Stegostoma tigrinum: one gene and its partner. Each later gene encodes a partner of the first gene's protein in a complex. Links are inferred from orthologs where the notes say so. Each region holds a gene or a part of one and is shown in the gene's direction. Other genes may lie near its edges. The genes, in order: gabbr2 and BTB/POZ domain-containing protein KCTD16-like.

Region 1 (12,637 bases):
TAATGCATATTAACATTGATTGCTTAACAATCCTTTCATCATTCACTAAATTACCTCATATAGGCATTTCTATCCTTGAAGCATAACAAAACCCTTGAAGACCACGTTACCAAAGTCTTTTTGCCAAATTTAATACTAGGTGCTGCTTTCTGTCCACAGAATCATACGATCATTCTTTTGTGGACCGAGGCAATTTGTTTCACTGAACTTGTGTAAGCATTTTACAGGAGTGATCTACTACATCACGTGTACTTCCCCTTCCTTGTGGCCCAGTATTCCTTTTTGTTCTCCAGGTGTTTATTCAATTCACTTTGAAGACAACAATTGAATTTGTGTCCAGTGAATGCATTTAAAATCATGGCTATTTGCTGGATAAATAGTTCCTACTCATTATGAGTCTTAAGTTTTTTTAATTTCCCCTGGTTCTTGTCTCTTACATCAAGGGGAACAGATTTTCTCTAACTACTCTGTCTGACTCTCTTATGATTTTGAAATAAATCACTTCTTAAGCTTCTCTCCTGTAAGAGTACAGCCCCAGAATAGAAGGTACTAGAGAAAAATCTCTTTCCTAATCCTTGTTTACTTTACTGTCTTCTTACATCACCTTCTTCTCAGCTCCATCTCCTCAATGTTGTCTTGGAAAAGCTGTTGATTTTCTCTTCTATTTTGTTCTTGGCCAGGAATACTTGTTTAATGGTCTTATGACTTTAGAAGCTATTCTGAGGCTTTCATAAATGACTCCCTAAAAGCCTGAAGGATTTTGCCTCAGAATCTTATCTCAACTTCATTTCCTGCTGTTCTTGCTCTGTTCACTCTCATTTTGTATCATCACAGGTGAAACAGAAAAGTAGACATTTGTTGCAAATGCATCATGAACAAATGGTTGTCGGGCAATGTTGCAGGTTCCCTATTTTGTCCCACCTATTGCATTGATTTACATTGTGCTCATCTTACTAAAAGTACTTTGCTAAAAAATTGTCTCTTTGTAGCTGTGTGATGTGAGTCTGTGTAAACAAGAGCTAACACTCAATTTGCGCATTTTCAGCAAGAAAACCGTCATGCTGACCAAATTTTGAATGTATTTAGCAAATTATTGAATGGAAAGTAAATGTTCAATCTTTATACATCTTTTGAAAGCTTTTTGTGACATGGTGAGGCCAGTTAACTCAATTTTTTGATGACTAGCATGTGGTTCAGATGGGTGCCAATGGGTTTGATTCCCTTTTCAGCTGAGATAAACTCAAGTCCTGCTTCTTTGCCTTACCCTTGAGAGTGGAAGACCATGATAAAACATCCAAGAGAAACATTTCAGGATGTAACTGCAGCAGACAATGACCATGTTCTGTTGAGTGGAACGCACAGGATGAAGATAGGAATGATATAGTTTTCCTGATTTCATTGCCGCTGGTTGTCACATTTAGAATCTGAACTCTGGAATTCCTCTCAACCCAAACCTCTTGGTCTCTCCCTGTTTTCTTCTTTAAAACATTTCTTAAAACTGAACTGGTTGACAAAATTTTATACATCTACGCTAAGATTTCCTTATGTGGTTCCATGTGAAAATCATTTGATACCCCTTCTATAACATGCCTTCGGATGGTTGACTATCTTAAAGTGCAATATAAATGCAAGTTGTTGTTATTCTAGTCTGATATCACCATAGAGACAAATAATGTTTAAAAAGGTCAAACTGCCAGTTATAAGATGAAAATTACAGCAATATTTCATAATTTAAGAATTTTCACAAATAATTAAGAACATTTAATGAAGCACTATTTTTGGAGATGTTATATTTTAAATCACAGATTCGAGCACCTTTTATGTTGGATGTTTTTAAATCAACACATTCAGGTGTGTTACTGCATATCTGTCAAATAGATGGGACTTGAACCTCGGCTTTTGGCCCAGAGGTAGATATATGGCCTAGGGGGAGTGTAAGCTTTTATGTCTTAAATTTTTCACACACCATACTCTCCACAGAACAAAACAAGACACAGTTGCTTTCATCTTCCAGTAGGCTTACAGCTTTGCAGTTTTAACAACCAACATGGCAATAGGGAGGCTGAAAATAGTATACACCGTATAAAACAGTTCACAACCAACATCAATATGGGAGCTGAAAACAGAGAGAGAGCAGCAGCAGCACAGGGTCCGTAAGCAGTATGGAAACTGAAGTTGAAAACAGTGCCAAATGTAATCAAACGGAATTGAGGTAATCTCTAACTATTGCACCAATGCCATCCTTGATGTCCCTCCATCTTCTACCCAGTGTCCTCTTCTTCTTGGATGTAACCTTCACTATTCAGGACTCAACCTTTCTCATTCTGCAGCCATGTCTTGATAATGGCTATCTAACATATTTGCTCACTTCAATGCGTATTATCTCTTTATTTACTTTGTTTATAATGCTATGCTAATTCAGATACAGAATCTTTACTTGCCTCTTGTTGTAATCTTTGTAACATCTAGTCTTGACATTCCTAGGTGCATTCCTAGGTTTTGTCTTGACTTTGTCTCTTTCAGCCACTCTCTGGCCCTCTATTCCCGGATTAGTGCTTTACTTGTCTACCTTGTCTTTACTCTTTGTTATACTATAGCTTTCCACGTTTGATTCCTTGCCCTTGCTATTTAGTTTAAAATTCTTTGCACCTCCCTGGTTATGCAGTTCACAAAAAACACTGGTCCCTGCATAGATCAGGTGTAAACTGTCCCAATGGTACAGCCGCCACGTTCCCCAGTACTGGTGCCAATAGTCCACTGGCCACAATCCCTTGGTTTCCACATCAGTCTTTGGCAACAGAGTCATTTCTCTAATTTTATGTACACTATGCCAATGTGCACACATCTCAGGTACTAATCCACAGATTATATCTTCTTAGGTTCTGCTTTTTAATTTCGTTTCCGATTCTGGTCCTAATCGCTGCATCTTTCCCCTTTGACAACTCCACCCCGTTACTTCTCTCTCTGATTTTGTAAGTATTCCAAATTTCCTTTGCTTTAATTCTTTCTCTTTCTCATTATCGCTCAGTGTCCAAATTTCCACTGCTGTGTAAGTTTCTGTATGTGAACTATCCAATGGAAAATGAAGATGCTATTGATGTTACAGGCAACATTATGTTATAAATTACAAAGCTCCCTCTATAGGCCTGTAAAGAGTGAACAGCCTGTAACCCGCAGAAGAACCCTTCACAACTCCTCTCGCCACTCTCCCCACCCAGATGTACTTCCCATATTGTCAGGTATTTATTTTGCTTATGTATGGTGAAACAGACAGCAATTCTGCAAATCGCAACGTTCATAAATATCTTATCAAATAGCTTCAGGAAATGTAAACAGATTATATTCACTGGATAATACACTTCAAAAACCATAAGAACTCTTCACAAAATACTTACGCACCCTTATAGTCTGTTATGCTCTTTTGATGAATATTGATAGCATCTTGTGAAGTTCTTTTAAGTCCTATCCACACAAATGGTAGTAGCTCAACTACCAAATGTATCTCAAATTGATACTACAGTACTTTTGAAATAGTGGAGCGATAAGTATTATTCCTCAGTTATTGGGGATCAATTCTGTTCTATTGGAGCAGAAAATGGTACAGCACAGAAGCAGACCCTTTGGCCTGTCATATCTGTGCTGACCAAGATGGCATTCTAAACCAACCCCATCTGCCTGTTTATGGTCTGTCTAAGTGCCTCTTAAACATTGATATTCCAGGCACTTACCATCCTCTGTTAAAACAAAAAACTTTTCTTGCACATTTCCCCTATCACCTTAATCCTATGTCCCTAGATTTTATCATTTCCAACCTGGGAAAAAGACTGTGACAACCATGCTATCCAGGTCTCTCATAATTTTATATACTCTATCGGGTCGCCCCTCAGCCTCTAATGCTCTCGTGAAAGCAATCCAAGTTTGTCAAACATCTCCTTATAGCTAATGAACTCCAATCTGGCCAATATCCTAGTAACGTGATAATGGGAACTGCAGGTGCTGGAAAATCCAAGATAATAAAATGTGAGACTGGATGAACACAGCAGGCCCAGCAGCATCTCAGGAGCACAAAAGCTGACGTTTCAGGCCTATACCCTTCATCAGAGAGGGGGATGGGGTGAGGGTTCTGGAATAAATAGGGAGAGAGGAGGAGGCGGACCGAAGATGGAGAGAAAAGAAGATAGGTGGCGAGAAGAGTATAGGTGGGGAGGTGGGGGGGGGATAGGTCAGTCCAGGGAAGACGGACAGATCAAGGAGGTAGGATGAGGTAAGTAGGTAGGAAATGGAGGTGCGGCTTGGGGTGGGAGGGAGGGATGTTTGAGAGGAAGAACAGGTTAGGGAGGCAGAGACAGGCTGGACTGGTTTTGGGATGCAGTGGATGGAGGGGAAGAGCTGGGCTGGTTGTGTGGTGCAGTGGGGGGAGGGGACGAACTGGGCTGGTTTGGGATGCGGTGGGGGAAGGGGAGATTTTGAAGCTGGTGGAGTCCACATTGATACCATTGGGCTGCAGGGTTCCCAAGCGGAATATGAGTTGCTGTTCCTGCAACCAATATCCTAGTAAACTTCTTTTGCATTCTCTTAAAAGCCTCCACATCCTTCCTAGAGTGTGTGGGCCAGAACTGATTACAATACTCTTAATGTGATCTCTCTAATGTTTTATACAGCTGCAACATGGCTCGCCAACTTTTATACTCAATATCCCAACTGATGAAGGCAAACATGATGCATACTTTCTTCATCACCTCATCTACTTGTGTTGCCACTTTCAGGGAGTGATGGATTTGCTCCTCAGGGTCTGGCCATTACCGTATACTTTCCTCTAGCCCATGACCTTCCAAAATGCAACACTTCACATTTGCTGGATTAATCTCCATCTGCCATTTCTCTGCCCAACTTTCCAACTGGTCACCTTCCTGCTGTATACTTTGAAAATCTTCCTCACTATGCACAACTCCACCAATTTTTGTGTCATCTGCAAACTTACTAATCAGACCATTTACTGATTCATCCAAATCATTTAAATAAATTACAAACAACAGGGTCCCAGTGCTGATCCTTGCAGAACACTACTGGTCACAGACCTCCAGTCAGAAAGAAAAACACTTTTCCAAAACTACCCTTTGTCTTCTATGAGTAAACCTGTTTTGTATTCAACTTACACAAATCACTGCGAATCCTATGCGACTTAATCTTCTGGACCAGCCAACCATGAGGGACTTCATCAAATGCTTTAGTAAAGTCCATGTAGCAACATCTGCTGCCCTACTCTCATCAACCATCTTCATCAATTCCTCGAAAGACTCAATCAAATTTGTGAGACAAGACCTCCTGCCTCAAAGCCATGTTGACTATCCTTAATAAGTCCGTTCTTTTCCGATTGCAAGTTGATCTTGTCCCTAAGAATCTTCTCCAATAATTTTCCTACCACTTTAATGTACGGCCTAAAATCTCTTGAATTATCGCTGTTGCTTTTTTTAAACAAAGGAACATCTTTGGCTATTCTTCAGTCTTCTGTAACCTCGCCTGTGGCTAAAGAGGACACAAAGATCTTTGCCAAGGCCCCAGCAATCTCCTCCTTTGCCTCCCCTAGTATCCTGGGATAGATCCCATCAGGCCCTGAGGACTTATGGACCATATTGATTATTAAGTTGCCCAACAGCTGCTTCTTAATGTACACATGCCCTTGAATATCACTATGCCCTTCCATAACCTTACCAACCTGGGAATAATAATCAGGCACATTATTAGTCTGTCTACATGTCTCCAATGAGCTCCAGGTGAGCCATATCTGTTGACTTCAGAGAGCACACACACAAAGAAACATGTACTGTATCTACACTGTTATAGTTAAATGAAGTTTTAGGTTCTGCTTCCACCTAGACCTCCTCAAACTCTTCATTGCAGTTTTTAAGATTTAGAGCTGTGTCATTAATATTGACCTGGGGCTAATTATATATTAAGTTAGGGATGGTTTATTGCTGGATGCATGTTACTAACTTGGTCTGACTACTGTGTATTACTGTGCTTGGAGAATATCAGCTTGGCCCTCAGCTAGTATGGAAGATAAATCACTTGCATTTGGGGAAATGAGACGCATTTTGAATGTGTCTTTGCACTAGAATATTTTCCATAAAACAGGAATCGGTGACATAATGCCATCTATGTGTTGGTTACTTGTTAGAGTCCAAACTAGATAAGCTATCAGGAAATCATGTAACTTCTGTCCCAGGAGTCAAATCCATCTTTCTATTCTCATGGCTGTGATATTTTCCAGTGATATTAATAATTATTTCCTGGTTTAAACATGACATAGATCAACAGAATAATAAAATGTGAGGCTGGATGAACACAGCAGGCCAAGCAGCATCTCAGGAGCACAAAAGCTGATGTTTCGGGCCTAGACCCTTCATCAGAGAGGGGGGTGGGGAGAGGGAACTGGAATAAATAGGGAGAGAGGGGGAGGCGGACCGAAGATGGAGAGTAAAGAAGATAGGTGGAGAGAGTGTAGGTGGGGAGGTAGGGAGGGGATAGGTCAGTCCAGGGAAGACGGACAGGTCAAGGAGGTGGGATGAGGTTAGTAGGTGGCTGGGGGTGCGGCTTGGGGTGGGAGGAAGGGATGGGTGAGAGGAAGAACCGGTTAGGGAGGCAGAGACAGGTTGGACTGGTTTTGGGATGCAGTGGGTGGGGGGGAAGAGCTGGGCTGGTTGTGTCTTCCCTGGACTGACCTATCCCCTCCCTACCTCCCCACCTACACTCTCTCCACCTATCTTCTTTACTCTCCATCTTCGGTCTGCCTCCCCCTCTCTCCCTATTTATTCCAGTTCCCTCTCCCCATCCCCCTCTCTGATGAAGGGTCTAGGCCCGAAACGTCAGCTTTTGTGCTCCTGAGATGCTGCTTGGCCTGCTGTGTTCATCCAGCCTCACATTTTATCTTGGAATTCTCCAGCATCTGCAGTTCCCATTATCTCTGATACTATCATAGATCAACAGGATAGATTTGTTTGCTGCCAGAGGATTGAACAATGTATTTGCTTGATTCAGAGTCTCCACGTAATAGAAACCAAGCGTTCTCAAGGAGCCTAGTGGCTGAAAATTGGTAGCACTCATGTTTAGCTGGTATCGATGGTGGGACTTCACAGGGTAACAGTGACAAATCACTGCTGTCGAGGGCAACTTTGTTTTCACTTGCCATTTACAATTGTTTTTGTTAATCATTCCAAAGTGAAGTTATTCTCCACACTAAACAACAGTGAAGACTGGAATGAACGATATGGGCAAACCTCTTTTAAAATGCCACAAAAGATAGTGGCGGAAACATAAAGAGTACACCGAGTGAGGCTTTAAACCACCAAGGTATCAAACGCTTACAAACTTTCAACGACTTGGGTTTGGTGAATTTCAATACGCTTTTTAACGTGCGATTCTTTCCCCAGAACTTCATTTCCATTCCAATAATTAAAAACATTCTTGAGGATGTTTACAACTAGAACAACAAATTGATTTCCAAACGGTCAATCTCTCCTTCCAAATCAAGTTCCAGTTAATTAAAAAAAAACGTAACATTCCTGGAGATTCCTGCACACAGTGAAAGTGAGAGTCAAAGCTGAAAATGGATCTGAAGCTACAATTCAAAATGAAACAACGGGAAGGTGCCGGTTGCGATGCGGATCTCGACACTAGGGAATAATTAATAGGTTACTGCTGTTTTGCAATTTTCGGGATCTGATTCGGTGCCTGAATTGGTCGCTGTTCCCTGTTTGCCTGTGAGGTGCGGGAACAGATGTTTTCGCTACTGTAATGGGAAGAAGTGCAAATAAATTCAGTGATTGACAGTCGAAGCCCTGATAATGATCCGGTTCGATTTATGGCCTTCCCCCTCGCCATAAAACACAAAACTCGTCCCTGTTTCATATTGGCATGTGTTTGTTTTATTATTAATACATATACACATCGTGGTCATTTCGTTTCTGGTGATTGTGTTGTTGGCAATTTCAACCAGTAGCTGAGGTCTGCTGTGTTTTGACTCCTTCGAATCCGCCAGAGGTTGAGTCCAATGCGGCTGGAGCTGCGTTGCTGTGCGCCTGTGTGTAACCCTGTGTGCTCACAGGCACCGCCAACATGTTCGGAGTGTGAACATTACCAGCGGAATCCCAGAGCGGCGGGTGTCCGAGCGGGCTCACTGCTCCACCGCCCAGGATGGAGCCCGGAGTTGGGTCACCTGCAGTGCCCCCACTGACAGTATTCACAGAGGCAGCGCTGCGGACATGAGGATCTCTTCCCCAGTCGAGCTGCCTTCCCCAGGGAGCTGAGTCTCCAACTCCGTCCGTGCCGGTGTAATCTCTTGTTTTGTTTGGCGGGGAGAGGGTGTTGGTGGGGATATCCCCGTTATCCCATCCTTGCGTTTGTATGGATTGGACAGGATGTGATGGGAGCTGTGGACGAGAGGTGAGCCTGTTAAGTGCTGAGCTCTATGCTGAGCTGCACATTAACACCCAGTCCAACACTGTGTAGATGTTCGGCGCTGCTTCCTCTGCAGGGTGTTTTTTTTCAAAGCCGTGCGGGTTCTGCTTTCCTTTGAACTGCTGCTGAAATCCTACTGAAGGAGGTGAAGAAGGCAACGCACGCAAATGTATGTTTCCAGATATTTTATATCTGTCAACTTGAATCAATGGTATTAAGAGAGGGGGCGCCAGGCGACGTTAAAACACGTTATTCGGGACCCCTCAACAAGAGCAGGAAGGGGCGAGCGGAATGCACTGAACTCGGATCAGCTCAGTGGCTGGACCAGATTGCAACACCTTAGAAGGGTTGAAGCGACAGAGAGGGAGAGAGAGAGATCGCGGCAGCCAGCGAGCCCCAGCACCACTGCCTACCTTCTGATGCGGCTCTCCTCTGGTTTGTGAGAGTGTGAGTGTGTGTGTGTGCGTGCGGTTTCTCCTCCAGGATGCAGACAATCTCCAGGACCTACCGAGCTGGCTTCTTCTGGCGCTGCCTGCGCCGTCTCGGCACGCTCTTGGTGCTATGGATCTGGGGCTTGCTCTCCAGCTCGGCTCTGGGGCTGAGGAACAGTCGCCTGGAAGCCGACTCCAAGCTGCCCATCATGGGGCTGATGCCCATCAACAAGGCGGCAGAGAGCATCTCCGAGGGCATCATACCAGCCGTCGAGCTGGCCACAGAACACGTCCACAACAAATTCTTACCCAACACCAGCAAACTGGTCCTGAAGTGGTACGACTCCGAGGTATGTTTCTTTTATTTGTGAAGCTATCTGTGTGTGTGTGTGTGTTTAATCCAGTCTGTTTACAAACGAACACGTAGAGGATTTCCAATTAGTTCAAACCCTTTGCCTGTACCCCCCCTCCTTGTACATATCTCCTTAATATATCCACAGTGTGATACTTACGAGGTGCGAAGTGTTAATTTTGAATTGTGCTGTTTTGTACAATGCGCAGTGGATGAATGAGTTAACCCTTCGCAGGGTTCAGCGGGGGTTTGCCGTGCCTGTTTAGCGCTCGGTTTCTTGTGTCTTGTGGCTACAGCGCGGTTAGCTTTTCGATTTTGACCCAGTTTTGCCTGTGCACCGTGTGTGGACATGCGGATAACATAACATTGGTTAGCAGCTAAGCAAGAAGCAAGAAGGAATGGGGACAGGGCGCTATGTGTGTGTGTGTGTGTGTGTGTGTATTTCTTTTTCCCTTTTGAGGAATATGAATGAGCTCCTGAAGTCATTGCATTAATCTGGCGAACAGCCCGTGCACTGCCTGGGGAAGCAATGAACAGGCACAGGCTCTGCTCATTGCTTGCCAGCAGCAAACAGTTAACACTGCAGACCACGGCCACCCCCTCTTCGCCAAGAGATCTGTGCATTAGTGACAATATAACGCGCTTCATGCGAAATAAAAACACTCCGAATCACCTTGAGACCTCGCTGTTGAAGGGAGGAGGTGTCCACTACAGCAGGTATTGTGTTTTCCTTCCCCAGATGACATACATAGATGCACATTCGTTTGTCACGGTGGAATTAACGTGCTAGGGGCGGGGACAGGCTCAGGACTGAGTGAGCATTACCTGAAGGTGGCAGCAGCTTCACACCAAGCGCTGCCCACATTGCCAAGGTAACCGCCATCCCACGTTGAGAGCGGGCAGGGGCACTTCACTGTCAGTGACCCAGTCAAATACACTTAGCACCAGGCTGGCTGTACGTGCTGCGGCTCTGAAACTGGCACAGAGGGCAGGCGCTCGGCGATGCTGTGAGGCAGCTTTCCTTTGCATCGTGTGTTTGTGTGTGTGTGCTCGCCTTCGTTTCTAAACAGGCTTTGCCTCTCTCCATTGCATTTTCATTCCATCTTGTAAGGTGATGTAAAGCAAAACATGGGGGCGGGCATTTACAAATGATTCCACAGGAGCGTTTGGCCCGATCGGCCCCTTTAAAAGGACAGGATGAGGAATTCGCAAACTAACCGAAAGCCATTTGGAGAAGGGGAAATTCCTTCAAATGTCGAAACGACAGGTGGTTGACCCAAGAGAATATCTCCGCAGTTCACAAGGGCTGAGACTATAACAACAACAAAAATTGCTGGTTAAACTCAGCAGGTCTGGAAGCCTCTGTGGGGAGAGAGGCGGAGTTGATGTTTCCAGTCCACTGACCGCTCTTTAGAACTCTGCTCTCTTATCCACAGATGCTGAGCTTCTCCAGTTATTTCTGGTTTTGTTTCTCATTTCCCGCATCAATAGCTCTCTGTTTTCTTTTGTGTGACAGCTGAGGAAGGCCTTTAGGCTCATGTTAGTTCATAAATCCAGAAGAATCTCAATGGCCCCTCCCGTCCAGTGTAGTATCCATCTGGTTTCATTCATGGGAGTTAGGGCCAGCAGCGGTGAGGCCGGTTTGTACATCGCCTCAGCCCGGTTAATAACCGAATGGCCGTCAACAGGCCAACGCTTAAGTTACGGGGCCCCAAACGGGGTTATGATGAGGCAAAGAGGCAGATATCATTCCGAAAAAGATATTGGTGATCCAGAGATGTTTATACAACAATTCAGTCATTTCACGCTCAACAATACCGGCGCCACTTTTTATTAATAAACTAAATTTATATTTGCCATCAGCTGTGACGGGATTTGAACTCACATCACTAGGTTGCTAGTTCTTAATGTTTTGAGCATTTTGTTAAATCTCTCTGCTATTTCTCTTAATATTCACGTATTTCTCAAGTAACTGTGCACTCCACAGAAGCAAAGTCAGGCCTTTAATATTTTATCTTGATCAGGTGTTTCAAGTCCTTCAGATGAATTTTATTGCAGGGACATGATGATATTTTCTTTCTTTTTGACAAAAAAATTACAAAACCACTATACAGCTGTACATTTAAATTGCTCCCTAAATCAATTGCTCCAATTTTTACCTTCATAGAAGCATATTCCACCTATTGACTATTTTCAGTTTGAAAAATAATTTCTGAAAATCTGTTCCAAAAAGACTTTTTTTATAGTTTGAATTCTTCCTCTGGCTTTGAAGTTTAATGTAATGTCCTGAGTTAACCTCTTGTATACTCATAGGGTCATAGAGTTATATAGAACAGCAACTGACCCTTTGGCCCAATTTGTTCAAGTGAACCAAGTATCCTAAATTAATCTAGTCTCATTTGCCAGCATTTGGCCAATATCACTCTCAACCCGTCCTATTCATGTACCAGTCCAGATACTTTTTAAATGCTGGATTTGTACCAGTCTCCACCACATCCTCTGGCAGCTCATTCCAAAAACGTGCCAACATCTGTGTGAAAAAGCTGCTGCGTACTTCCTTTTTATATCTTTCCCCTTTCAGCTTAAACCTTTTGGTCTCCCCCACCCTGTGAAAAAGACCTTGGCTATTCTCACTATTCATGCCCTTCATGAATTTATAAACCTCAATAAGGTCACCCTGCAGCCACTGACGCTCCAGGAAAAATACTTCTGCTTATTCAGCCTCTCCCTGTAGCTCAAAGCCTCCAACCCTGTTAAAATTCTTGTAAATCTTTTCTGCATGCTTTCAAATTTAACATCAACATCTTTCCTATAGCAGGGGGACTAGAACTGAACGCAGTGCCAAAAATGGCCTAACCAATGTCCAGTACAACAGCAATATGACATTATAACTCCTGTACTCAATGCACTGACCAATAAAGGCAAGCATACCAAATGCCTCCTTCAGTACTCTGTCTATCTGTGACTGCACCTTCAACGAACGATGAACCTGCACCCCAAGGTCTCTTTGTTGAGCAACAGTCCCCATTAAGTGGATAAGTCCTTCCCTGACTTGCCTTATCAAAATGCAACATCTCATATCATTAAATTAAATTAAATTCCATCTGTGGCTCCTCGGACCATTGGTCCATCTGATCAAGGTCCCATTGTACTGCGAGGTAACCTTCTTCATTTTCCGTGACACTATCAATTTTGGTGTCATCTGCAAACTTACTAATCATTCCTGCTATATTCACATCTCAATCAATTATATTAGTGACAAAAAACAGTGGACTCAGCACCAAACCTTGTGGCACACTGATGGTCACAGGCCTCTAGCCCCAAAAGCAACTCTCCACCGTCATCCTCTGTCTCCTACCTTGCAGGCAATTTTGTATTCAACTAGCTATCTCTCCCT
Region 2 (12,026 bases), on another chromosome or scaffold:
ATTAGGAAGAGGATCTGATCTTCCAGTTGGGTGCTTTATTTCTGCCTGACTTCTCATTTGTGTCAGACTTCCAAACTATTTTAGATTGTGCCCAACAATCTTGAATAAAGTGGACATTATGTGCAAGATATTAGATGTGCAGAAGTGGGGGTTCCGGTAGTGCTGGAAACATGGAATGCTATGTGATAAGCAGGAGAAAATTGTAAAATTGTGAATTACTTTAGGTGAGTGGAGAGCGGTGTAAGTAATGGGGCTGCAGCGGATAGTCAAAAATAAACTAGAAGCACAGATTCTTAACTTGAAGACCCTAGTCTGGTAATTAACCAACATCTGGCATTGTGCCATCTCTTCCTGCTGTTTTGAAAACAAGATAATTCTCCTCCAACTCCACTTGCTGGCCTCAGTATAAGGGCTTCCAAGCTATTTGGCTAATTGACCCATTCAGACACATTATGACGAACCTTCGGAGCAGTGCAGACCTGCGCCTGAAAAGCTGCATCAGATGCTTTGCTATTCAACAAGTTCATTGCTGTTCTGATGCGTTCCAAATTTCACATTCCTGGCTGTCACTAATAACCTTAGATTCCTGTTAAGCAAGGGAGTCAAGCTACCTCTACCTAAAACATAATCAACGACCCTGGTTCCCTGCCTTCTGATGTAGAGAGTCTTTCAGATTTGTTGCAGTTTCTGTAACTACCTCTGTTAGTTACTTGTACATCCTGCTGCCTGGGACCTTGGTTAACCTTCTGTTTATGATTACAGTTTCTTTTAGGTGGCGTTAGGAATTTCCCCATTCTTCTAATTGAATAGATCCCTGTCTGTAAGCTTCTCTGAATGCAAGGAGCAGCCAGCATCAATTTCACACAGCTCTATGATATATTGGTAGTCATGCACACTTCCTAAAGGATCCTGTACATACTGACTTTTGGGTATGATTCAGTTCTTAGGCTTAAAAGATTTCACAACAACAAACTAACATATCATTTAATGAAATGGTAAAATGTTGCAAGGTGCAAACCAATTGCTGCTGATTGGAGTTTCATTGAATGTTTCTTCAGATGAGTTTCTTGTACTAACTGTAATTTGAGGTTATAGATAATGTACCTACAATTTTAAAATAAGAAGTGTGTTGCAGCTGAAGGACTCTTGTGTCAAAGGACTTTGGAAAGTGTTACTTGCATTTAACTCTGTGATGACTGCTTGTCATGTTCCTTCTTATGATTTTATTGTCTAAGTTCAACTGTTTAGTGCATGTATCAGGGGTTTATAATGTTGTAATAATCTATTATCATGCTGTTATAAATTTCATTTGTGGATACGTATGATTTAAGAATAGAATGAAGTCTTTCAGTCCTTCGATCCTGCATTGCCATTCAATAAGATCATGCCTGATCTAATTGTATTACAAATTCCACATTCCAATCTATCTCTGATAACCTTAGATCCTGATTAGGCAAAGTAATCAATTTAGTTCCACCTTGAAAATATTGAATGACTCTGCTTCCTTGCTTTCTGAGTTTGAGAGCTCTATAGATTTAGAAATCTCTGAGAGAAAAGAAAATTCATTTCATTCCTGCCCTACAATGTTTTAAAAGTGTCCCTAGTTCTAAGCCTCAGCAACAAGGGTGAACATCCTGTCCATATCCACATTATCAACAGTATTCAGCATCTTATAAAATTCAGTTATATCACTTTATATTCCTCTGAACTCTTTTGAGATAACTCACTCATGCTAGATATCAATCCAGTAAATGTCCTCTGAAATACCTTCAATAAGAAGGCCAAAACTATTCATAGTATACCAGTTGTTGGGGGGGTGGGGAATAATGGTGTTAATGACCTCATGGTATTGTTGCTGGACTGTTGATCCAGATAACGTTCTGGGAACTTGGGTTTGAATCCTGTCACAGTATACGGTGGAATTTGAATTTAATTAAAAAAAAATTGGAATTAAGAGTCCAATGATGACCATGAATTGATTGCCAAGAAATTGCATCTGGTTTACCAATATCCTTTAGGGAAGGAAACTGCCATCCTTATTTGGTCTGGCCTATATGTTATTCCAGAGCCACAGGAATGTGATTGACTCTTAACTGCCCTCTGGGCAATTAAGGATGGGCCATAAATGCTGCCTAGCTAGCAATGCCCTCATCCCATGAATGAATTTAAAAAATGGGGTCTCATCAATGCCTATATCATAGAAGCAGAACACTCTTACTTTTACGTTCAATTTTTCTCTGAATAGTAAATTCTGTTATCGCCCCCACGACCCCGGCCAATTACGTGCTGTATGTGCATGCTAACATTTTGTGACTTATGAACAAGAACACCAAAACACCTCTGAAACTCAGAATTCTGAAGTCATTCTTTCCTACCTGTCATTGTGTCATCTGCTAAATTAACCACTACATCTTCAATTTCTTCATCAAAGTCATTGTTATAAATTCTAAACATTCAAAGGCTCAACATAGACCCTTGGAGGATCCCAGATGTCACATGTTGACAACCTGAAACAGACCCATTTATTCATATTTTCTGCCAGCTCGTCAATCTTCTAGTATGTTGCCCCTTCACCATTAGCTTCTACTTTGTGCAATAATTTCTTTGTTATATTGAAACTCTTGCTATGATTTTTTACATTTCTCGCTAGCTTCCTTTCATACTCTTATTTTTTGTCCTGATCAACTGAATCATTGCTCTCTGATGAAGGGTCCAGGCCCGAAACGTCAGCTTTCATGCTCTTGAGATGCTGCTGGGCCTGCTGTGTTCATCCAGCCTCACATTTTATTATCTTGAATCATTCTCTGCCATTTTTTGTATTCTGACCAGTTATCTGACCCGCAATTAATATATGTAAAACTATATACTTTCTCCTTAAATTTGAAGTTCTGTTTAATTCCTTGATTAACTACAGATGGTGGGTCTTCCCCTTGGATACTTTTTCTTTATTGTATAAATGTACTAATTCTGAGAAATGTGAAATATCCCTTTAAACATCACCTCCTCCTTCTTGATTGATTTATCTGTTAGCCTAAAATCTCAGTGCATTTCAGCTAGCATGGCTTTCATGCTTATATGGCCACCCTTTCTAAGTTTGAAACATTATCTTAAAATCATCGTTCTCTCCCTCAACTAGATGAAAAATTCAATCACTTATGATTGCTGCTACCTAAAGATACCTTTACTCTGACATCATTAAGCTGTCCTGTCTAGTACAGCTTGCTCTCTAGTCAATCCACAATGTGCTGCTCTAAGAAACTGTGCTGAAACCATTCTATGTTCTCCCTATTGAAGCTACCAATATAAATCTGATTTTTCCAATTTATTTTGTTGATTAAAATCACTCATAATTCTTGCCATCCCATTACCACAAATGTCCAATATTTATTCTTGTATGATTCATCTCACATTATAGCTACTGTTTGGGAGCTTGTAGATCATTTCCCCCAGAGACTTCTTTTTCCTACTATTCCTCATCTACACCACAACTGATTCTATATCCTAATCTCCTTAACCAAGATTAGCTTAAACTATTGTACTAATTCCACCTTTGATTAGCAGAACTTTCCATCTATCTTCATCTAGATTCCTATTCTTCTTGAAAGTCGTATACCTCTCAATATTCAGAACCTAGTCCCTGTCATCCTAGGGGAGGCAGGAATGTAGTGGTAAAGACACCAATAATAATTCAATAGCACATTTAATTCAATAAAAATCTGGAATTAGAAACTGGCCTAATCACAACATGTAACCATTGTCAATTGCCATAAAAATAACCCAACTCTTTCACTAATGTCCTTTAAGGAAGGAAATCATGTGACTCTAGACCCACAGAAGTGTGGTTAATTCTCTACATGATTAAAGATGGGCAATAAATGCTTAATGTTAAATCAGATGACCAAACATTTAGCCATAGAAGTAGAGAGATATCAAACGGAAACTCCAGAGCTCGCAGCCTAGCCACCTCAAGTCGTGGCCAACGACTATTGGAATGATTGAAATTAAGGATGCTCCAGTTGCTGGAAGCAATTAGTGTATATCAGACGATAGAGGGACAGGTGATCACAGAAAATGAGATGGTCAATTCACAAAGGGGGCATTTGAAAACAAAGATAAGAATTTTAAAATCCAGATGTTGCATGAGTAGGAGTCAGAATAGGTCACTGAGCACGGGGATGGGCAGAACATGATGTGAATTAGGACACAGGCAGCAGAGTTCTGGATCATTTCAAGTTAAAAGGGGTTAGAGTTAACCTAGCTTCTGGACATCAGCTCCATTATGTCAGTTTATTTTTAGCAGTCACACATACTGTCTTTAGAATGTTTGTCAGTTTATTTTGTGGATTGATTGTGATTTACTAAGTACATTTCTCACAGTTCCTCACCAATCACAGAGAGAAATACTGGCTTTAATTAACTTTTTGTCCTTTATCATGGCATAAAAACAAACATGCAAAAACCATGTTCTTAAGTAATGTAAAACTTATTCTGATCATCACAGTATAGTTTATGTTGTAGCTTGTTATATATCATTTTCCTTTCTGATTCTAGAATTACATTTCTGAGCAACACACTGATTTTTTCTAAACTTAACAAATTGGGAGTTTTAAAATATATATTCATATAAATTGGTTTAAAAAACAAGATAAAGGATTGTCAAAGATAATGTATTAGGTAATTATTTGACTTTCTAAAAATTGAAAATGTTATTGTGCAGCTTTGTAATCAGTAAATACTACAGCCGCATTGATTTGGAAAGCTCCTGGTTCTAAGTACTCAACAGGTGTCTCTGGCACAGATCTTCCCTCCAGTAGTGAACATAACTAATAAGGTAGGGACAGAAACATATATTAACTCTTTGGCATGTTCATAGAAAGCCAACAGGCAGGTTATCGCTCAGACTGTGAAGTTATAAGTTGTCTTGTATAAGTAAACTGACTTATTGATGAATAGAATTGTCGTTTTGTGCTGATTTCATTGTGTTCAATCATGACTGTTGTTCTTTACGTTCACTCTCTATTTGTGAAATAAAACAGTTATATTATTTATTGCAGCCTTGTGTTATCACAGTATAAATGACACCCCCCCCCATTTGCTGGAAAAACACATATGAAAGCATGTGCAAAAATATTGTATCCACTTCATACATCAAGGAGGGTCACATTTTTTCACTCCCAGAGTCAAGTCGTCCTACAAATATTGAACTGTGTGAGTTTACTTGGACGTAAGGATTTAGAATCTGCTAATGCTTCCATTAAACCTAATAAGACATCCATAGAAGATCAAAATTGTGATGAAATTACTCAAGGGACATGGATAACTGGCTGAATGGACAAATAAGAGACAGGTGCTGTTTAAAGTACAAAATTATAATTAATATGTTTGGAAGTAAGATCAGTGAAAGGGAAATACAATCTATATGATACGATTTTAAGTGGTATAAAGGAGCAGAATATCTTGACTTTCAAATGTAAAAATCAAATTGCATTTTGTGCTGATTGCATTGTGTTCAATCATGACTGTTCTTTATGTTCACTCTCTATTTGAGAAATAAAACAGCTATATTATTTATATAGCTTTAAATAACTATATGAAACGATTTTACGTGGTATAAAGGAACAAAATATCTTGACTTTCAAATGTACAAATCAAATTGCATCTTAAGTCGACAAGGTTATGAAATGGGCAAATAAAACCTTTGATTTAGTGTATATAGAAATTGACCTAGGGATTAAAAGTATGTTCTGTTGGTCTTCTATCACTCATACATTCTGAGCTGAAAAATGAGTTTTGATAACAAAAGCGCAAGATAATGGGTGAGCAAGTATAACGGTATAAAACATACACCAACCTGTTGATATCTTAAATCCCTATTCCTTGTGACATGTTGATAAAAACATGTAGTCCTGTAAATCCAAAACGTTTGTGAGTCTATACCACAGCGTATTGGAGTCGAAAGGGCCTTTACTCCTAGATTGTGACTGTACTACCGTAATTTGCCAAGCTTCGGGCATTCGGAATATAATCATCGCTTTTGTATTGTGTTAGAGCTGCTATTTAAATACATACCATAAGACTATATTTGCTTTTCATAACAGTAAATACAAAATACTGGATCGAGATAGCAGCTCATAGACTATAGGGAGGGAGAAGTAGGTTAACGTTTAAAACGACCACTGGCAAGTGCTAAACGCAATATAATCACGTACAAATGACTTTCAACATTTTCTGATCCTATTCCAATTTTCAGAATGTGTTTTTGGTCTCTTCCGTAATGTCACCTGTCGCAGTATAAATAGCTTTACCCTGAAATAGTTCTGTTCCAATATCGTAAAGAGCCTCATATGGTGTCCCCTCCCACAAAGCTGTTTCGCAATAATACAAGAAATGGCACCAATGAAGAATACTTACTGGTTTTGAATAAAACGAATATGAATCCTGACCTTTTACACAATGAAGTTAACCTCAAAAATCATCACTTATGAGTAGCCTATTTTGTTTATGACATAGTTTGATTCTGTGAGAAGAAAATGTTGTTTTAATCACATATTTTATGATGTTATTTTTAGTGACGGCCATGTGGGATTACTGGTAGGCGTATGTGTTAGGCGTTGTTTGAAGAATTTTCGGATCCCTTTACATACCAGTGATATGTGGTAACAATTCGCTGCCGGTTTATTTGTCCTCACTATGAATTACAGCAGTGTTTATTGACGCTAATTCTAGTTACGGTGACCGTATATGTTACCAATGGCCCCAACTTTTAGCTCACGCATGACATACGGTGTCTCCAAAAAAAAACAGCACTCGCTCTCTCCTGTAACGCTGCTATTTTCTCTGAAACGCTGGCAAACACTGCTTCAGATCTGGCTGCGAGACTTTGTGGATTACTAGGTCATTTTAGCCGCACACTTCCACTTAATTATTTATTCCACAATCCTAAAATACTCCATCGCCTCTCGACGGATTTGAGCCCTAGCCACCCTAGAACACGACGAAATGACAAATGAGGAAGAGACTGCTGGAGCTTTCGGCGTTTCACCTCGAGGGAGCCGGTTTCCTGGTGACTAATGGCCAATGACAACTTTGTGTCTATGATTGACCCTCAGGAGACAATCATTTTCCGTCTCGTAGGTTTCCGCGAAACCGAGGGAGTGAGAGAGAGAGAGGGGGATAGAGAGAAAAAAAATTTCCCGAAAACTAGACAGGCGGAGCCTGGGAGTGGTGGAGTCTGAAAGTAGCCGAGAGCGCCGCTGATTCTTGGCGAGCTGCAGAAGCGTGCGAGGCACCCAGGGAAGCGGGAGCTGGCTTTTCACGTTCAGCCCTGAATCATACCGCCCCGACTCTCCAAGTTGGAGAAGTGGAGCTCGGCAGGAGGCGGTGTGTGAGAGCTCTTTGGGGGAAGATGATGTAAGAGGCGCTTTGCCAGCTGCTTTCTCTCTCTCTCTCTCACTGGGAGATGTGACAAACCAGGAGCTCACAGCAGTCTATCCGGAGCGCTGGGGATCAGGAGCGGCCCCAGAGCGGAGGGTGGGAGGGAGGGAGCTAAACAAATAGGGTCACTCCGATCGGCCGCCAGGGCACAGGCAGCGAGCCCCTCCCTCCTCCCCCCCTGCCCCCAGGGGGCAGGACTCTGCTCCAATACTCCATCCCTCTCTCTCTCTCCCCCCCCCCCCCCCCCATCACAGTGGAGGCGCTGGAGTCGGGGGGAAGCGGAGCTGGGAGTCTCCCGGTGTCCCGGGCTGCCCGGGGTAGGGGAGGCTGCTCTCTGACCAAGTGCCCTGCCCCGCCGCCGCCGCCGGGAGGGGTGGAGGCGGCCTCTCTCTCCTGGCCAGAAGTTGGCTCCGGGCTCCCGGCCATGGCTCTGAACGCGAACTGCAGGCCGGCTCCCCCGCTGGCGGCCCGGGAGAGCAGCGGACCCCCGCTGCCTGATGTGGTGGAGCTGAATGTGGGCGGCCAGGTGTACTTCACCCGCCTGTCCACCCTGACCAGCCTCCCGAACTCGGTGCTCGGCAGGATGTTCGGCCACAAGAGGAACTCGGCAGGCCCCGAGCTGGCCCGGGACAACCGAGGGCGCTTCTTCATCGACCGGGACGGCTTCCTATTCCGTTACATCCTGGACTACCTGCGGGACAGGGCGGTGGTACTGCCCGAGCTCTTCCCGGAGAAGATGCGCCTCCGGCGGGAGGCGGAGTTCTTCCATCTGCCCGAGTTGGTCCGCATGCTGAGCCCGGACGAAGGGCAGAGCCCCGGCCTCGAGGAGCCCTCTCACAGCGACCTGGATGAGCTGTCCCAGGGCAGCGACCTCCCCCGGGCCGGCAGCCAGGCAGCGGAGCGCAGGGCCGGCTTCATCACGCTGGGTTACCGCGGCTCCTGTGTCCTGGGCCGGGATAGCCTGCAGGGGGATGCTCGCCTCTTCCGCCGGGTCCCCCGTATCCTCGCCTGCGGGCGGATCGGCCTCCTCAAGGAAGTCTTCGGAGACAACGTGAATGAGAGCAGGGACCCAGACCGGACGCCGGACAGGTACACGTCCCGCTTCTACCTCCGCTACCGCCAACTGGAGAGAGCCTTCGACACCCTGGCGGAAGCAGGCTTCACTCTACTGGGGAGCAACTCCTCTCTGACCGGCTCAGTGTGCGGCCAGGCGATTGATGACAGGGCATGGAGCAGCTACACCGAATACCTCTTCTACCGTGAGTACATTCCGGTTGTCTTCCTGTTTGCACCCAGCGCGATGTCTGCACCGTTCTCCAACTCCTCTTAGTCCACACCCTTTAATCCCCATGCCCTGGTACATACTCAGCCAACACCAGCTCCAGTTCCCCCACACACTACCGAGTGCACAGCCAATATCCAGCGCCCAACTATATCCCACACCTACCATCCAGCGCCCAAACACTGCTCCTATCTGCTGTCAGCGCCCGACCTCCGACAACACACACTATCCAGTGTGCACCCACTAGTCCAGCGCCCAGTTACAGAGTGCACCCACTGTCCAACATGTTGCGGTGAATTTGAAACGCAGTAGTTTGGTATCGAGTACATTTCCGTCTCAGGCAACATTGAGCGTCGCCGAGCATTCCGAACCCTAACCGAGAACTAGCGCCCTGTCACCACCGACTGTACACTCGAATCCTTTGCTGAGACAGCGAATCATGTTCGCAGCCCCTTGTTTGGACAGAAATTGAAATATATTATGACAGACAATATTATTCGATGGTGAATAGGAGGTAAGGGTTGAAGTGACCATCGAACAACAAAACCTGGACAGGGACGCTGCACGTTGCGCATACAACATTGCGTTTCTCTGTAAAGAGCCCCGTACCGGCCGGAGAGTCTGTCCGGAAGGAGAACCACTGGCGGTGTTGCCGGGAAAGAAATACAGTCCCGGAATGAAGTTGTAACAGTCTTTCCCGCTCCGAGAAGGCGTGGTTCAGCACCTGGACAGCGACTGCTAGCAGCAGCGGGGAATGTGACAAGTAGCTTTGGGATGCTGGATTGCTCGCTGCACTTTCTGGCGGCGGGAGCGGCTAGTTTCTAACTGGGTTGCAAAACAAGCAGCTTCAGCCAGCTTCTCCCAGAGCTACCCTGTCCCAGGGCTGGGAATGAAGCTCAAAGCCCGAATGGGTTTGATTCGTAGCCCAGACCATTAACAGGAGCTGGCAAGGGCGGTTCAGGGTCCGTGCGATACGAGCCGAGGACCCACAGAGAGCGAAAGAGAGCATGAGATTCCGTTTCTTCGGAGTGATTTGCTATACTTGGATGTTATTAGTATGATTATTTGCGAGTATGGGACACTGGCAGGGGGGCTCGTCGTAAATAATTGGGACCCAGTCTACCGGTAAAATTGCAACTTCAATTCTGAGGGACATGACTTTAGCGAGAAAAAGAAGTAGCGCTCCCCAAGTGCTGTGTTGTCACGGCGAACAGATACACTTTTACAGGTTTAAAACACCGGCGCGCTCAATCTTGACGATAGCGCTTTAGCTGGCACAATGCCGCTGGCTAACATTTCCTAATTCATCATTGTTATAGAGCCAGTCAGGTCTCTTTAAATGGGGCATTCTTTTACGGCAACGTTTATCTGAGGCAGTCGTCATTTACAAATCGTACAACGGTCCTGAAGAACCTGTAATGAAGGAAGGAATGGAAAAGCAGTTTCTAGCTGATTTTACAACAAATATCACTATTTGACAATTCAAACCCGAGTACACACGGTCAGTGTTTAAATTGAAATACCTTTGGTCCTGTATTTCTGTAATTTTGAGGTATTACTGATGATCTAGCGATAAGTTGTATGAACCAGAACAGTATTCGTCATTTTTTGTTGCTTTACTTTCATAGCAGAGAGTTTACCAACGGGAATGTAACGCAGAAGCGACAACTAGGTGCAGCAATGGCAGAACAAGGCTAAAGTGCTGGCCAAACGTTGGTTAACAAATACCTACTTATTGCGATTGGCTATTGCAGCTTGTACTAAGGGCAAGCTCTTTCCTCTGTGTTACAAACTTAGATATATTCATATTTCCCTCTGGTAAGCTATATCAGCTGATGTTAATTACCATTTGGAAGCTCTCTCAACGTGAAAACTGGGACAATACTGTGGCCTCTTAAAAGTCCATGCCAGCATGCCCTGTCTCTTCTGGTAAGGCCCAAACTATCTTTTTAAGCCTATTGAATGTGCTGATTGGCTTGAGTTTCTTTGTTGCTTAATGCTCTGCATTAAAATCTTATTGCCCTCTAGATGTGACAGTAGTTCTCTTCATCTACTGCACAGTTACTATGAGTTATTCAAGTAGAGCAGGCCAAAGAAAGGACTGAAGCTGTCAAATGGGATGTTGGGGTATAATACAGTTTCTACAATTTAACACAATGATGATTATGTTTACTTCTAATTTTTTTTTCAATCGTTTTCAATTTAGAATGAATGTAGGATTGGTAACCAGAGATTGTACAGATTCTTCAAAGATGGTTAGTCAAAACAGTATTTGAATCTGTTGATTTAATATACAGGATAAAATTATTATAGAATGCAATATTAATAGAAATAAATTTATTCATGAAACAATCTAACAATGATAATTCCAGGTTGTCAAATCTGAGGACTTTTTAACCATTCCATCAGTGACTTCATTGCCCTTTGTTCATATAGGGACATTTTTATGTTGGACTTTGGCAAGGATTAGATCTGCTGACAACTTAGCTCCCACCAGTGATATGCCAGTTGGTCCAGTAACATTGTAAGTGTTACAACCTTGCATATTCTTCCTTCCATCCTGAACAGTTGTATATAGTCATCAGTTAAGTAAAGAGACAATTAATTCATTCGGAAAACCCCACTGTGCACATCAGGAGTCAACAATAGAAGGCATGCTGAGTGATCAGCAAGAAATAAAAATAATCATCTTCAGTTTAATGACAGAGCTCATTCTGCTGCATGATATAAAATAGTTGGGGGTGCTCTGACTTACTGTCTCTAACTGAGCTAACACTTAGTTATTGTGATTGTTATGCCTCAAATAAGACAATACAGTGACCTGAATTTTGCAGCTGCATCATGATACATCAACATCGTTATTCTTCTGAAATTGACAAAAACCTCTGGAGGAAACTCTCATGCAGTTAAATGTGGAAATCTTGTGGCAGGCCATGTAGTGCAATGGGCAGTGTCTCTGCTTCTGAGCCAGAAGCTCAGGGTAGAAGCCCCACATTAAGGACTTGATGACAATAGAATGGTGTTCATAACACAGCTAAGCGGGTTGATTATGAATCTATAAATCCTTCCATTGTGCATATGTTAGATGGTAAAAAATTCTTCTGATCAGTCAAAGCCACACTGTAGCTGCAATGCAACAGCCTTACTATCATAAAAGACTATGTGTGTATGTTGTTATTGTGTCGTGTTTTCCATGGCAAGCATCCTTCTCACTTCAAGGGTTTATGAGAAAAAAGGAATCCAAATGCGATCATGTACATTTCCATTATGAATGCCATGGAAGATTGCACCACCCCAGCCCCAATTGTGT

Evidence for each region.
Region 2: the proteins of gabbr2 (region 1) and BTB/POZ domain-containing protein KCTD16-like are in contact, whole or in part, in a crystal structure (PDB 6M8R), measured with the Homo sapiens proteins. The link is inferred for Stegostoma tigrinum from reciprocal best matches to the Homo sapiens genes GABBR2 and KCTD16. Residues at the interface, in NP_005449.5 of Homo sapiens: Ile882, Asn883, Ile888, Gln889, Arg891, Leu892, Ser893, Leu894, Gln895, Leu896, Pro897, Ile898, Leu899; in NP_001357415.1 of Homo sapiens: Asn30, Gly32, Gly33, Gln34, Val35, Tyr36, Asp64, Leu65, Ala66, Lys67, Asp68, Ser69, Arg72, Phe74, Gly79, Phe80, Arg83.

Annotation. Positions count from the first base shown.
Region 1 is NC_081355.1:87,513,685-87,526,321, reverse strand, and holds the start of gabbr2 (gamma-aminobutyric acid type B receptor subunit 2), read left to right. Parts: upstream 1-7,977; 5' UTR 7,978-8,941; coding exon 8,942-9,238; intron 9,239-12,637. UniProt on the Homo sapiens protein: Component of a heterodimeric G-protein coupled receptor for GABA, formed by GABBR1 and GABBR2. Within the heterodimeric GABA receptor, only GABBR1 seems to bind agonists, while GABBR2 mediates coupling to G proteins.
Region 2 is NC_081366.1:33,641,195-33,653,220, reverse strand, and holds the start of BTB/POZ domain-containing protein KCTD16-like, read left to right. Parts: upstream 1-6,601; 5' UTR 6,602-7,858; coding exon 7,859-8,693; intron 8,694-12,026. UniProt on the Homo sapiens protein: Auxiliary subunit of GABA-B receptors that determine the pharmacology and kinetics of the receptor response. Increases agonist potency and markedly alter the G-protein signaling of the receptors by accelerating onset and promoting desensitization.